Regions from separate parts of the Mus musculus genome. Here all the other regions are reported to be linked to region 1. The links are microRNA targets in miRTarBase. Many come from high-throughput screens and were not tested one by one. Region 1 holds a microRNA gene; each other region holds the end of a gene's coding sequence.
What was found. The annotated mature microRNA mmu-miR-362-5p reads AAUCCUUGGAACCUAGGUGUGAAU and lies in region 1 at 1,032-1,055, shown strand. An mRNA with a match to its seed (bases 2 to 7 or 8) in the 3' UTR can be bound and repressed. Matches are read on the target gene's strand: a 7mer-m8 pairs with bases 2 to 8, a 7mer-A1 pairs with bases 2 to 7 and ends in A, and an 8mer does both.

Region 2: miRTarBase lists Abitram as a target of mmu-miR-362-5p. The part of its 3' UTR that is shown has no 7-base or 8-base seed match.
Region 3: the mRNA of Pcdh8 is a reported target of mmu-miR-362-5p. The part of its 3' UTR that is shown has no 7-base or 8-base seed match.
Region 4: miRTarBase lists Map6d1 as a target of mmu-miR-362-5p. Seed matches in the 3' UTR shown: 7mer-m8 at 1,174-1,180.

The regions. Positions count from the first base shown.
Region 1 is chrX:7,239,846-7,243,073 of GRCm38, reverse strand. It overlaps Mir362 (microRNA 362), which reads left to right and starts at 1,028; the gene lies at 1,028-1,092. All of the region lies in intron 2 of Clcn5 (chloride channel, voltage-sensitive 5), which reads left to right. Mir501 (microRNA 501) reads left to right here and starts at 1,723; the gene lies at 1,723-1,831.
Region 2 is chr4:56,805,819-56,808,818 of GRCm38, forward strand. Abitram (actin binding transcription modulator) reads left to right here. Exons shown (of 6, transcript NM_001081420.1): 5 at 60-129; 6 at 216-3,000. The coding sequence ends at 353. Among named protein-coding and RNA genes, the nearest start is that of Elp1, 5.0 kb to the left of the region's middle.
Region 3 is chr14:79,764,821-79,768,048 of GRCm38, forward strand. Pcdh8 (protocadherin 8) reads right to left here. Exons shown (of 3, transcript NM_021543.4): 3 at 1,952-2,927. The coding sequence ends at 2,551. Among named protein-coding and RNA genes, the nearest start is that of Gm9748, 3.5 kb to the right of the region's middle.
Region 4 is chr16:20,233,394-20,236,393 of GRCm38, forward strand. Map6d1 (MAP6 domain containing 1) reads right to left here. Exons shown (of 3, transcript NM_198599.2): 3 at 1-2,646. The coding sequence ends at 2,569. Among named protein-coding and RNA genes, the nearest start is that of Gm41431, 1.8 kb to the right of the region's middle.

The sequences.
Region 1 (3,228 bases):
GCATTTGTTATTCTCATTTTTTAGAAGTAGTCCATGACCTTGGAGAAAGCAGGTAGATTCTTTAATCCAGTACATGGTGAAGTATAGGTTTGAAACAGGGTTTGTAGATACCAAACTCCACAGTTTCTCTGTCTTATCCATGATGCTGGTAAGGTCCCCAGCATCACCCAGCCCCTTTTAGAAATACAAAATCTTGAGCTCACTAATGAGAAACCTCTGTAAGTTATCTTAGTACCAAGTCCTCCAGGTATCTGAAGTAACTTTAACAAGATGCTGATGTGTGTTAAAGGATGCCAATCTCTACTGCCATCTTGTGAGCTTATGGCCTCTTCTCTCTGTCTCTCTGTCTTTTTTTCTTTCAGTATTTTGTATCTCTGGCTTTATATTTTTATAATCTCAGAACAAAATATGAATGTATATATTTAGACAGGTTTCTCTGTCTCTGTCTGTCTGTCTGTCTGTCTGTCTCTCTGTCTCTGTCTCTCTTTGTCTCTGTGTCTGTCTGTCACTCTGTCTCTCTCTCTCTCTCTCTCTCTCTCTCTCTTTCTGTGTATGTGTGTGGAGGGTGCAGAGGTCAACCTGAGGTGCTTCCCCTTTGGGGACATCTACCCTGTTTTTTGAAACAGTCTCTAATAGGGACTTGGCACTCACCAGTTAGGCCAAGGGATCTAGCTTTCTTTGAGTCCTCACGCTTGGCTCTTTTATGTGGAGGCTGGGAGTTGAACTCAGGTGCCTAGACATACTTAATGTGAAGCTCAAGAACATTGTCTTCTTTCTCATCACAGATAAGCACCTTGTGTCAAAGGTGAGCCCATGCGTTCATTTGCTGTGAGCCTTTTGCCCTGCTTCAGTTCTCTGATCCTTGCTACCTGGGTGAGAGTGTTCTTCAGCAAGGATTCTGAGAGCCAGACCTTTGTGTTTGTAAAGGACAGAGCGCATCTCTCGTTCTCTTTTAGTGTGTTGCACACAAGCATATTGACCACACACAGGAAGGGCAGGTTCCTGAGCCTTCTTGCTTGCTCCCCCTCTCGAATCCTTGGAACCTAGGTGTGAATGCTGCTTCAGTGCAACACACCTGTTCAAGGATTCAAAGAGGCTGAGCCTTGTCTGCGTGTAGAATGGCCCATACTTGCACATCTCACCTGCCACCTTCCCTCCTCCTGGCCACCATTTGATTTTGGTTTTAGCTGTCAGACTTGGTTCTACACATTTTCTAACAGCAAAATGGTCTTTATCATGTTTGGTAGACATGCTTCTATTCTCAGCATGAGCTTTCTTGATTCCCAGTTTGCTAAGTGTCAGATCATGTGATGAGGAGCACACATTAGGTGCTGCTACTCAGGCAACCCGTTTGTTACATCCAGTGATAACCCCTGTTCCACAAAGCTTGAATTGTATAAAGGCATTGGAAAGGAATGGAGTATCCTCCTCCACTGTGCCCTCTTTCAGTATGTATATGCATTCTCAGATCCCAGCCTTCTTGCTACCTTCCAAACATAAATCAGGCCCCCACAAATTCTCAAGTATGATCTGGGAGAGATACCATTTTGTATACGTAGAAGTTTTCTCTGAGAGAGGATGCTCATGGTGGGAAGGGGGCAGATACATATATAAATCAGGGATGTCAAGCTTGGGTATAGGTGGTGATGCTTGGCTGAATCAGGACAAGGAAAATTAAATATTATATACAGAACCACACAAACATGGTACAGGTGCCTGGGCCTTCTGCTCTGCTCATCCTCTCTAATCCTTTGTCCCTGGGTGAAAATGCTATTTGTATGCAATGCACCCGGGCAAGGATTTGGGGAAGGTGAGCCTGATCTGCATGGAGAAGGACAGGAGGTCTGTGCATCATATCTCATCTGTTTGCTGCTTGCATACTTCTTTTATGCCTCCCCCCACCTTCTTTCCTTCTACAAATACAACGGGCATGGTGCATGGGAGAGTAAATGTGACAAATTTGGCCTCTTCCCACCTAGATTTTATAGGTAGAACTTTATTTCCACTTATGACCCTAACAGGTATCAAGAACAAGTGGGGCACATAGTAAACTGTGTATTGACATAAGTGCGCAGCTTTTCATTCTAGTTCTCATACCGACACCTGGAAGAGAAATTCTTCTTTAGTTCAACTCTTGGAGGAATGCACAGGGCAAGAACAGTAAGCCTTCTTGTTGAACCCACATGCCAAGGGCATAGGTGCAGGCTGTGCCTTTCTAGTACTTGCTACTTGGATGAGTGTGCTTTGCGAATGCAATATACCTGGGCAAGGGTTCAGACATTGAGTTATCTTCATGTAGGACCTTTACGCCTCCTTCCACTGTTTCCTGTCTATTTATTCAGTATGGCAGGTACTCAACTAGGGATTTGGTCCACAGGAGTATGAACCACATGTGGTTCAGGGAGCAAATGGTCCAGGGAGAGTGAGCTGTGTCACATCCATTATGCCTGCATGAGTGGACTGTAGACTGGGACTTCATGTACACTGTCCACTTGGATTCTTCCATATTTTAACACAGTCCCATATAAATGCAGTGTATACAGAGGAGAGGATTCACAGACTTGTGCCCACAGAGAGGATTATCTGACCTGATTCATCAGGAACATTAATCCTCAGCACAAGTGCTGTTTTCAATAGTAAGTCCTGTCCAAGGAATCCAAAGGGTGGCACTTCGCCTGCACTTTAAAGGACAGAGCCCCTATATGTCCACACCCCTGTTCCTTTTCCTTCCTTTCACAAATATTCAGGTATGCACTATTTGATACAGCTCTGTTAGTCATAGAGGATGTAGCAGGAAACAAAATGAACAGAGGTGCTACTCTCTTAGGAGACTAATAAACACACTAAGATCCTTGACTATTATAGACTCACCAACTGCTGTTCAAAAGAATGACCTAGGTCTATTGTTCCTTGTTTTCTATTCTGTATGAATGACTCAGTGCAGGGTCTGATAGATGAGATTTCTCAAACTATTCCCCCTCCCATGGCCCTAGATATGCCTAAACACATGGGCCTACGTGGAGAGGAGTCACTCGCTCACAGGAAGAGTGGATATGGAGCCTATTGTGTTGTTCCCTCTCCTCATCCCTTCAGCCCGAAGACCAGTAGACTAAGTGACTTCTTGTCAACTACCATCACTACTCCCATTTGAAGACAGGAGCTTACTGTCTTACTGTGTAGCTCTGTCCCTCAAGCTGATTCTCCTATACCCACCTCCATAGGTCATAC
Region 2 (3,000 bases), not on the chromosome of region 1:
CTGAAGGAAACATTACTGCCAAAAGGGTTGTTTGTAAAAATTCTTCTTTCTTTAAATAGCTGTGTTAGAGGTCGATTGATGGAGGTGAATGAAAACATTCTTCATCAGCCATCTCTTCTTCAAGAAAAGGTAAGGGAGAGGCGGGGAAGGGCACCCTGCCCACATACCTCTTAGAAGTCATCAGGCATTGCTAAGGGTTCTGCTTTCTTCCCCAGCCGTCCACTGAAGGCTACATTGCAGTTGTATTACCCAAATTTGAAGAAAGTAAAAGCGTAACAGAAGGGTTGCTGACACAGCAACAGTATGAAGAGGTTGTGGTAAAACGCACTAATGCCACAGCCACCACGCCCTGAGTCTTTCGATGGAGGCAGCACTGGATTCTCAGCCTACCCGGCCTAACCCATCAGTGCCCTGAAGACAGCCAGTGTGTATGAAGCATTCCTCGCAGCCGCCTAGCCGAGAGAGAAGCCTAAACCTTCACCTAACCTAATTTCCCTCCTTTGTCTTACATCACAAGCCTTGTTCCCATCTGTATTCAGGCTCTCAGACCTGCCTTGCCCAGGCTCTTGCTTTGTGTGCTGGGAAGCGCACTTGTGGGTGTTCACTTGCGTATACGTCAGAAAACAACTTCAAGTGCTTTTTTTAACCACAGTTTCTCATTGGCTTGGAACTTTGCCAGATAGCTCATGTACTTCCAGGGAGGTACCTGTGTTCTCTGCCTCCCACCTTCCCAGGCTGGTATTACAAGTACACACCACCATGCCCTCCTTTATATGGGCCTGGAAACCCAAACTCTGGGCTTCATGCTTTCAAGTTGTATTAGTTACTGTTCAGTTGCTGTGACAAAATACCACAACCAAAAGCAACTTCACAAAGACTTTATCTGGGCTTGTAGTCCAGAGGACTAGATGACTATAGCAGTGGGAAGGCAAGGTAGCCAGGGCAGGAAGCTAAGAGATCCCATCCCTACCACACACCAAGACTGCTCTTGGTGAACTGGAAGGAGAATGAGGTTATAAACAGGCCCTGGTGATACAATTCCCCATCAAGACTTTCTGTCCTAAAAGTCCCATAAGCCCCCCCAAACAGTACCAATGACTGGGGACCAAGTGTTCAAATACCTAAGTCTAAAGGGGTCATTTTTCATTCAATCTACAACATTCTTCCCATAATGGCTATAGGCTCATAGTCAGGTCATGCAAAATGTAGTTAGTCCAATATCAAAAGTTCCCATAGCCGTTAATAGTCTCAGTGCTGTTCCAAGATCTCTTCAGAGACTCAATGCAATGTCTTATCTCCCCTGTGAATCAGAGAGCCAGGAACATACTTCCAACACACAATGGCACAGAATATACATTCCCATTCCAAAAGGAAGGGGTGATGACATAGTGAGGGAATATTGGACCAAAGAGTAAAAGCATGATGAAAGCCAGACCCTGCAGCTCCATATTCTCTATCTAAGGGTTTAGTTTCTGAGATGCCTCTGACCCGTCCACACTGCTGCCTGTAACAGATCATTCTCTGGTGATTCTGCTCTGTGCAGCTCTTCCTTGGCAGATGTCTCACAACTTGTATTTCCAGTGTCTTGGGATTTGTGCCACAACCCAAATTTTACCTTGACAGCTTCACAGTGGCCTCTCATGGCCTTGCAGAAACTCTGTCTCTGCCACATGTTTCCTCAGTGACTTTCTGAAGCCAGGAAGAATCCACTTTTCATTCTTGCATCTTTTATGCCTGCAAAGCTAGTACCATGTGGAAAATAACTTGAAAAATAGACTGTCAGCTTACAGTGCCTTTCACGTCCACGGCAGCTCTTGTATGGTGGTGCTTTCTCCAAGCGAACAGCCAGGTTCTTAATGCTGTCTTTCAGAGTGGAGGTTTATCTGAAAGGATTCTCTCCTTGACCAACTTCCACTGTCCCAGTGTTGAGCAAGAGACACTTTAAAAAACTTTATTGATTCTCTGTGAGTTTCATATCATGCACCCCAGTCCCACTCATCTCCCTGTCCCTCATAATAGCCCTTCACCCTTGCAATCTCCTCCCAAAATAAAAGCCACACACACACACGAACAAAACAAAGCTTAGATAATATCTCGTGGAAAGTAGAATATCAGAGTGTGTCCCACAGTCTATACGTCTGTCTGTGCATCCTCACTTGCAAATGTTCATTGCAGTGAATGGTTGGTCTGGTTCGAGATCTCTGACTTTGTGACACCATCAATATTGTATCCTCAGCCAGGCGTGATGGCGCACACCTTTAATCCCAGCACTCAGGAGGCAGAGGCAGGTGGGTTTCTGAGTTCGAGGCCAGCCTTGTCTACGAAGTGAGTTCCAGGTCAGCCAGGGCTATACAGAGAAACCCCGTCTTGAAAAACCAAAAAGATATATTGCATCCTCCTCGGGACTCCTCCCAGTTATTCTGTTGTTGCTCTGTGTCATGGAGGTCCTGCAGCTTTGGAGCCGCAGGACTGGTCCCTTCACAGATTGAGGAGATTTGGGGGTGGGCCAATTCAGAGTCCTAGACCTGAGCCTGGCGGTAGCTGAGCTGGCCAAGAGGCCACCTCTTCCTTATCTGTACCACCTGGAGGAGCCCTTTTTCTTTCTTAAATGTGTGAGTGCTTTGTCTGCATGTACATTCGCATACTAGAAGAGGGCATCAGATTCCTTTACAGATAGTCATGAGCCATCATGTGGTTGCTGGGAATTTAACTCAGAACCTCTGGAAGAACAGTCACTGTCCTTAATCACTGAGCCATCTCTCCTGCCCAAACCAGGGGACTTCTTAATAGCCCCAGTCTCTAATAATAGCAGCCTTTCTCAGTACATGCCTCCCAGGTCATTAAGTCAATATTGAGCTTCTCTGTGTTCTCTTCACCAAGCTGTACACTTGGTATTTACCCCCAACGTGCTTGTTTTCACTGATCAAGTCTATACTGTCTTGAAATAGCTAGTGGCAGAGAAATCAGACCATTACTTTTTAATTCAGCGTCATGCCAAAT
Region 3 (3,228 bases), not on the chromosome of region 1:
AAAATTTATAGAGTTTTTGAATCTCAAATTTTTGGAGAAATAAAAATAACCTGCACATTTCAAAATAAAATGATGTTTCTACTCTTTTCTTTTGAAAATTTAAAAGTTATACTTACCGATGGGTTTTGTGTGTTGGCGCATAGACATGTTAGGTTGCATATGGTGATGGTGGGGGTCACACAGCAACTTTCAGGAGTCAGATCTCTTCATCAGATGAGATGGGGATTGGGATCAAACTCAGATTTGGTGGCAAGCCTCTCTATCCACTGAGCCATCTTGCCGGCCCTCATTGTTTCTGTTTTGAATGCTCCAATCAGCAAATACAGAGACAGTCTGCTTCTAGAATCTTCTGCTCTGCCCTTGATAGGACGGACCAAGAATAAAGCTCCATTATTATGGGATATCTACCTGGCGAGCTATCTTCTAGAGCTGAGTTTTCCTGGCTAGGGAGATGGTTGGTAACTGACAAACATCGGTGTTTGCTTTTAGACCCTGAGAGCTGGGCAGCCAGCCTGTCAGGTGCATGCACAGCTCAGTTGCTGGCAGAAACCGCTGAACTTTGCACAGGCAGTGGGTGGTGAAGCACCATGTGCCTGACCTGCTGTTCAGCTTGGAGCTAACAATGCCTTCAATTATGACTTCAACAGGCAGCTTTGAGGGATGCTCTATTCATTAGTGTGTTTCACTCTATAATTAGTAATAAAGGAACACAGACGCTTACAAATATAAAGAGCTAAATAATAATCAAGCAGTAAAGGCAAGACATTGGACCCTTCCTCCTAACTTTGTTTCTTTCACATCAATAAACATTCTACAAGCTTTCCCCCTCATCGCTTCCCTTTGTTGAGCGATCTGAGTTCACTCTCACCCTGGATTCTTATTAGCTGTATGATGAGCAATGCTTTGTCTAACTTGCTTATGCTTCAGTCTCTTATTTGCAAAAATAGAGTTAGCCATAGTTCCTATGGCATGGAGGTAGAAGAGAATTTAATTCTCACAGAACTCTCTGTAAAGAGCTTTGCATATAGAAAAGCTTCCTCAGGAAATGCCAAATCTCATTATTATCTTCATTTTAATTTTAAATGGAATGCACACAAGGCTTTGACCTAGATGGGCTCATTTTTTTTTTTTTTATCTTTTGCATTTTGAAGGCATGTAGCCCAGGCTGGCCTTGAACTCCTGATCTTCTGCCTCCATCTTCCAAGTACTGGGATGAGAGGTGAGTGCCACCAGGTCTGACTCAATGGCTGTTTTAAACCTTCCAAAGCGACCCTCTTCATACCCACGTGTGCCCATACCACCATTGACGATTATCAGTAATAGTTTATCAATCTTGTTTTCATACAGTTCCGTGGTTTTGTTTTCTTTTGTTTTGGAACATGTTAAAGCAAATCCCAGATATGTGTCACTTCATCTTCAATGTATATGTTCCCTCATCCTTTTTTCCCCCCTGCAGTGCAGGGGACTCAAACTCAGTCAGAGAAAGCATCCCAGCACTGTACTCTGTCTCCATCCTATTTGTGTATCTTTTCGGTACACCATCTTAATAAGCAGTTTTGGATCATCTTTACCTCAAGCCCCAGCTCCTGAAGGAATTACTGGGCTCTGGTAAAATCTCTACAAATGTTTGCTTAATTCGTGGATGAACGGCTCAAATATAGCCTTCCCCCACTTTTTAGTAAATGCTCAATAGCTGTTTGTGGAAGGGGTAAGAGAGGGCAGGAACTTTGCATAGCAGCAGATGCATACGGAGTCATAAATATTTTTACAAAGTCAACAAATGTTTTTAGTTGTTGGGCAAGATTTTGCAATACCCCAAATCCCACAGGCTTGGTGTCCCCAGAAGCACCAACAATGCCCGAATAATTAGCTCTTGAAAGGAGGTTTAATTCTGGTACTGAAATTATTTGTGAATATCTGACTTCAGGCAACTCTATGAGAAGCAATTAGCAGATTCTTCAAATACATGACGAATCCTTTATTACTGTGCTTATAAGTGACAGAGCTTACAGAGAACCGAATGTAATTAAATAACAGTAACTTGAAATCTACCACAGACTCAAGATCTACAAGTTGTTAGACTTGGCAAGGCAAAAACTTCTCAAACATTAGGTTGTTTCTGGTGAAAGATAAAATCCCAATGAGCAATTCCAACACATTTTGTTTTTTGTCTTACAGACAATTCCTTTGGCAGTAACTTCCACTTAGCTTTTAATATATAAAAATATAACAAAATTTCAGTATATACAAACATTACATTACACAATGTACAGGTTAAAAACACTAAGAAAATTGCAAGCCACAAATGAAATTAAAGCCAATAGCATGATAAGAAAAATTAAATACTGCACACATTTCATAAAAATTACATTAACTACATTTTTTTTGTTTGCAAATACCAAACAGTACCAATGTGATTGGAAATAGCTTCCAACAACTTCATTTTAAGGCACATCTTGCATATTTATATATACAACACTGAAACCGGTCAATAACTTAGGGACGTGTCAGGGTGACCTGTATATGTGTGTGAAGACATGCAGGATAAGATTACACATTTTCATTGATTCCCTTCTTCGGGGACACGTATCTGCTACCAGGAGGGGATTCATAGAGGGGTACTCCAATCTCCTGCAGGTCTGGGAGCCTTCCTGGACGGGGAGGGGAGAGTAAAGTGACTGTCCTGTCATAGTCTCTATGCAGTACTTTCTCATAGACGCTCTGCAACCCTACTGTCTTGGGGAGCTGGGCCTGATAGTAATTGTCCCTGCGCAGAGGATCCCGAGGCAGGGACGTGCTCTTACAGAAGGTTGACATCTGGGCTGGTGGGTGAGGAGGGGGGTGTACGTTGGGTCCGGCACAGGATGGGCTCCAGCAGCGATCAGAATGACCTAGGATCTTGCACTCAGCAGTACACGCCCACAGTCCTGGGGGGGGGGGGAAGAAAAGAAATTCCTGAGGTTAGTATTCTAAGGCTGCACAATGTCAACGGGGTCAGGGCAGCTGGAGAGGATGGCACATGCTTTCCATGAAGATAACTTGACATAATGCAAAGTGTAGCTCCTTTGCTGGGAGAGCAGCAGCAGCAGCAACAACAACAACACAAAACGATGAATAGAATACCCTCCTTCCACGGCTAGCATCGCATTTAAAGGGAATGGGGTCCGGCTGGGACTGGAGTATTGAAGAGAGGGATGAAGGAGAGGGACTGGGAACAGAGGTTTTGAG
Region 4 (3,000 bases), not on the chromosome of region 1:
ATAAAGTATTTTTAAAAATTTGGGCTGGAGAGATGGCTCAGTTGAAGTGCATGCAGTACCTGAGTTCAGTCACCAGAACCCACATAAAAATGGCAGGCATGGTGGTGCACACTTAAAATCTGAGCACTGGAGAGGCAGCAGAGATGGGCAGATCACTTGAGGCTTGCTATACAAGCAGCCTAAGCTACTTGGCGAGCCCTGGGCCAGTGAGAAAAATGAAGGGTACCTGAAGAATACTCTGAGTTGTCCTCTGTCCTCTACACGTGCCTGCACATACATGAACACACATCCCCATATATACAGGAATACACACGTACATATAACGCCATATACACACTCCTTTCTCAGAGATGAGCCCTGCTCATCCTCCAGTGTATTTTTCTGGTCTTTGTGCACATTGTGTGTAAGGTGGACTCAGAACTAAGAGAACAAGGCTGACATTGGCCTTGGTGGCTTCTTGGTTGTTCGTGGAACCATGTGACCATACTCAGATCTGCAATGAGGAGGGACTTCCTAAGGGCAGGGTTTCATTCCTCAGGAGGACTGGTGAGAAGAGCTTTGTGGCACACTGCTGAGGTCATGCATCTCTACACCAAGAGTGAATGCAGGGGGTGGGGTTGCTGGACATGTGGTGCGGTCACTAGCAGTGTACAGCTGGAGGCTTTTAGCTGGGGCATGCCAGTGGCTACAGCAGGACCAAAAGGTACCTGGAAGAGTTAAAGTGGAAAGGACTATTGGGGAGCCATGCTTGGCTGGCTTTCCGGAGGATGTCCTAACAAGCCAGCAGGGTATAGGTAATAGCAGTCTCACTTTCAGGTGCAGAAGTGGAGTGCTCACTGTCCCTGCCAGTGAGGAAGCAGCAGTGGCACAGATGGCCCCTTTTCCCACTTAAGTATGCAGGAGAGCTGAAGTGGAAAGAAGGTAACACCTGCAACACTGGAAGCATCTGCAGCTCTGAGCAAGAAGGGTTTGGAGTTCAAGGATATTAGCGAAGCTACACTATATTACGGCCATTTTTGGGAGGCTACAGGGATGGGAAAGAATATGCCTGTGTTTATAACAAGTTGCTGCAGCACATTTTTGCATTTTAGTAAATTGTTAATCTGCCCAGCAGGCAATCGTTTCCCTCTTAGGAACACTGAGCATGCAAGCTGACAGACCTAGAGGGACAGGATCCTTGGCGTATGCATATGGTTGGTAAGAGGGAGGCTGGGCCTGCTAGCACCTCTGAGGGGATGCTGTGTGGGAGGTCTGAGCTGCTTCCTCAGCCATGGCTTTGAAACACCATCAGACCTAGATGCTCCCGTGGGGAGAGCCTGGGAAGAAAAGAACCACAAGGAAGTCCTTATAGTTCTTACCAGACACTGCTAAACCTCTCAGGCTCTTTCCAGCGCTTGAAGGGGTGTGCAAAGGGGAATGGGCTTGTTCCACACAGACGTGCTGGCTGGAATTTATGGAGATGAGTTTTCCAAAGACAGGATGAGTTATCCCCTCAGTTTTCCAAAGACAGGATGAGTTATCCCCTCAGCAGGGTAGTAAGTAGCTAACCAGAGTTGGGGAGCCTAAAGCCCTATAGGAGATGCTCTCCAGACATGCTTCCAGCTCCCTTCTATCCTCGTGTTGAGGGGGGACAACTGAAATTAGTAAAATGGGGTGAATGCCATTCGTGCTTTCAAGGTTCCACTCATCCTAGGAATTGTTTCCTTTGAAACAGGATCTTAGCTATAAAGAAATTACATGGTTGAGATTGACATGGATGATCTCCCTAGACACACATCACTACCATGAGAGTTGTGTGCGAGTAATTATATATTAAAACACACACACAAACTCCCTAAAGATTTTTGTTGTTTTGAAATTGGGTGTGTAGCCCTGGCTCTCCAGGAACTTGCTATGTAGACCAGGAAGGCAATGAGTTCAGAGATCCTTCTGCCTCTAGAGTGCTGGGATTACTCCTGGTAACCTAAGATTGATACCCTCTCCCCATTTGCTTTGCGGCAGGGTTTCTCTGTGTAGCTCTGGCTGTCTTATCACTCGCTCTGTAGACCAGGCTGGTCTCAGACTCACAGAGATCAGCCTTTGTCTCCCTCCATTGGGATTAAAGGCATGTGCCACCACTGCTGAGCTAAATTTCTTAATGGTAAGCACGTGGGTCACTGCAAAGAGATGAGGATACAGCCTGGATACTATCATACATCATCAAAAATAAATAAATAATAACATGCATCTTGGGGAAACCATCCAAAGTGTGAAACTGACCTACCAAGGACTTGATAGTGTGCACATTTCTTAGTCTGGAGCTGTTCAGGTCACAGCTGAATTGATCGTCAGATTTAAGAAGTGAAGGATGTCAGATGGCAATTTAGAAGACAAGAAAGTCTCCCTCCCTGCCACCGCTGGAGGACAGATGGGGAGGCTTGAGTGCAGCTGGTGGTGTCCTGTCCCTTTGCCTCCACACCACGCCATGCCCAGAGCCAGCAGCCATGCTGCTGTAAGCAAAGGAGCAGGCCAGGACTCCGCCTGGTAGGTCTGGCTGTGCTCGGCTTTCCCAACCATGGCTTCCACTGGTCACACATTGAGAGTCTGAGGAGCTGATGTCTGAAAGATGGCTGAGGGATTAGGTGTGAATTTCCTCACCTCTGGAACCTGAAAAAGAAAGTGGGGCGATATTAGCGGGCTTTTTCCTCACCTTGTCCCAGTCCCAGGCTCTGAGAAGAGAATCCCTTGCCCCGTGCAGCACAGTGGAAGTTAGCAGATGAGCTATGTCCCGGGGAACATGAATCTCTTCTGCTTCTCTTTGCCCTTTGGTTGGGATGAAGGTCCCGCAGTTCTTGAAGGAACTCAGAGCCTCACGCGACATGCCCTTGCTATACCACAGAGCAGTGCTTGAGTCAGTTTGGTTTTAGTATTTCCACAGGGAATGAGGCTACACTGAGGATAGAAGTTACGGCTTGTATATGCAGCCTACCACTGAGCTACATTAAAGTCATTAGCCCTAGT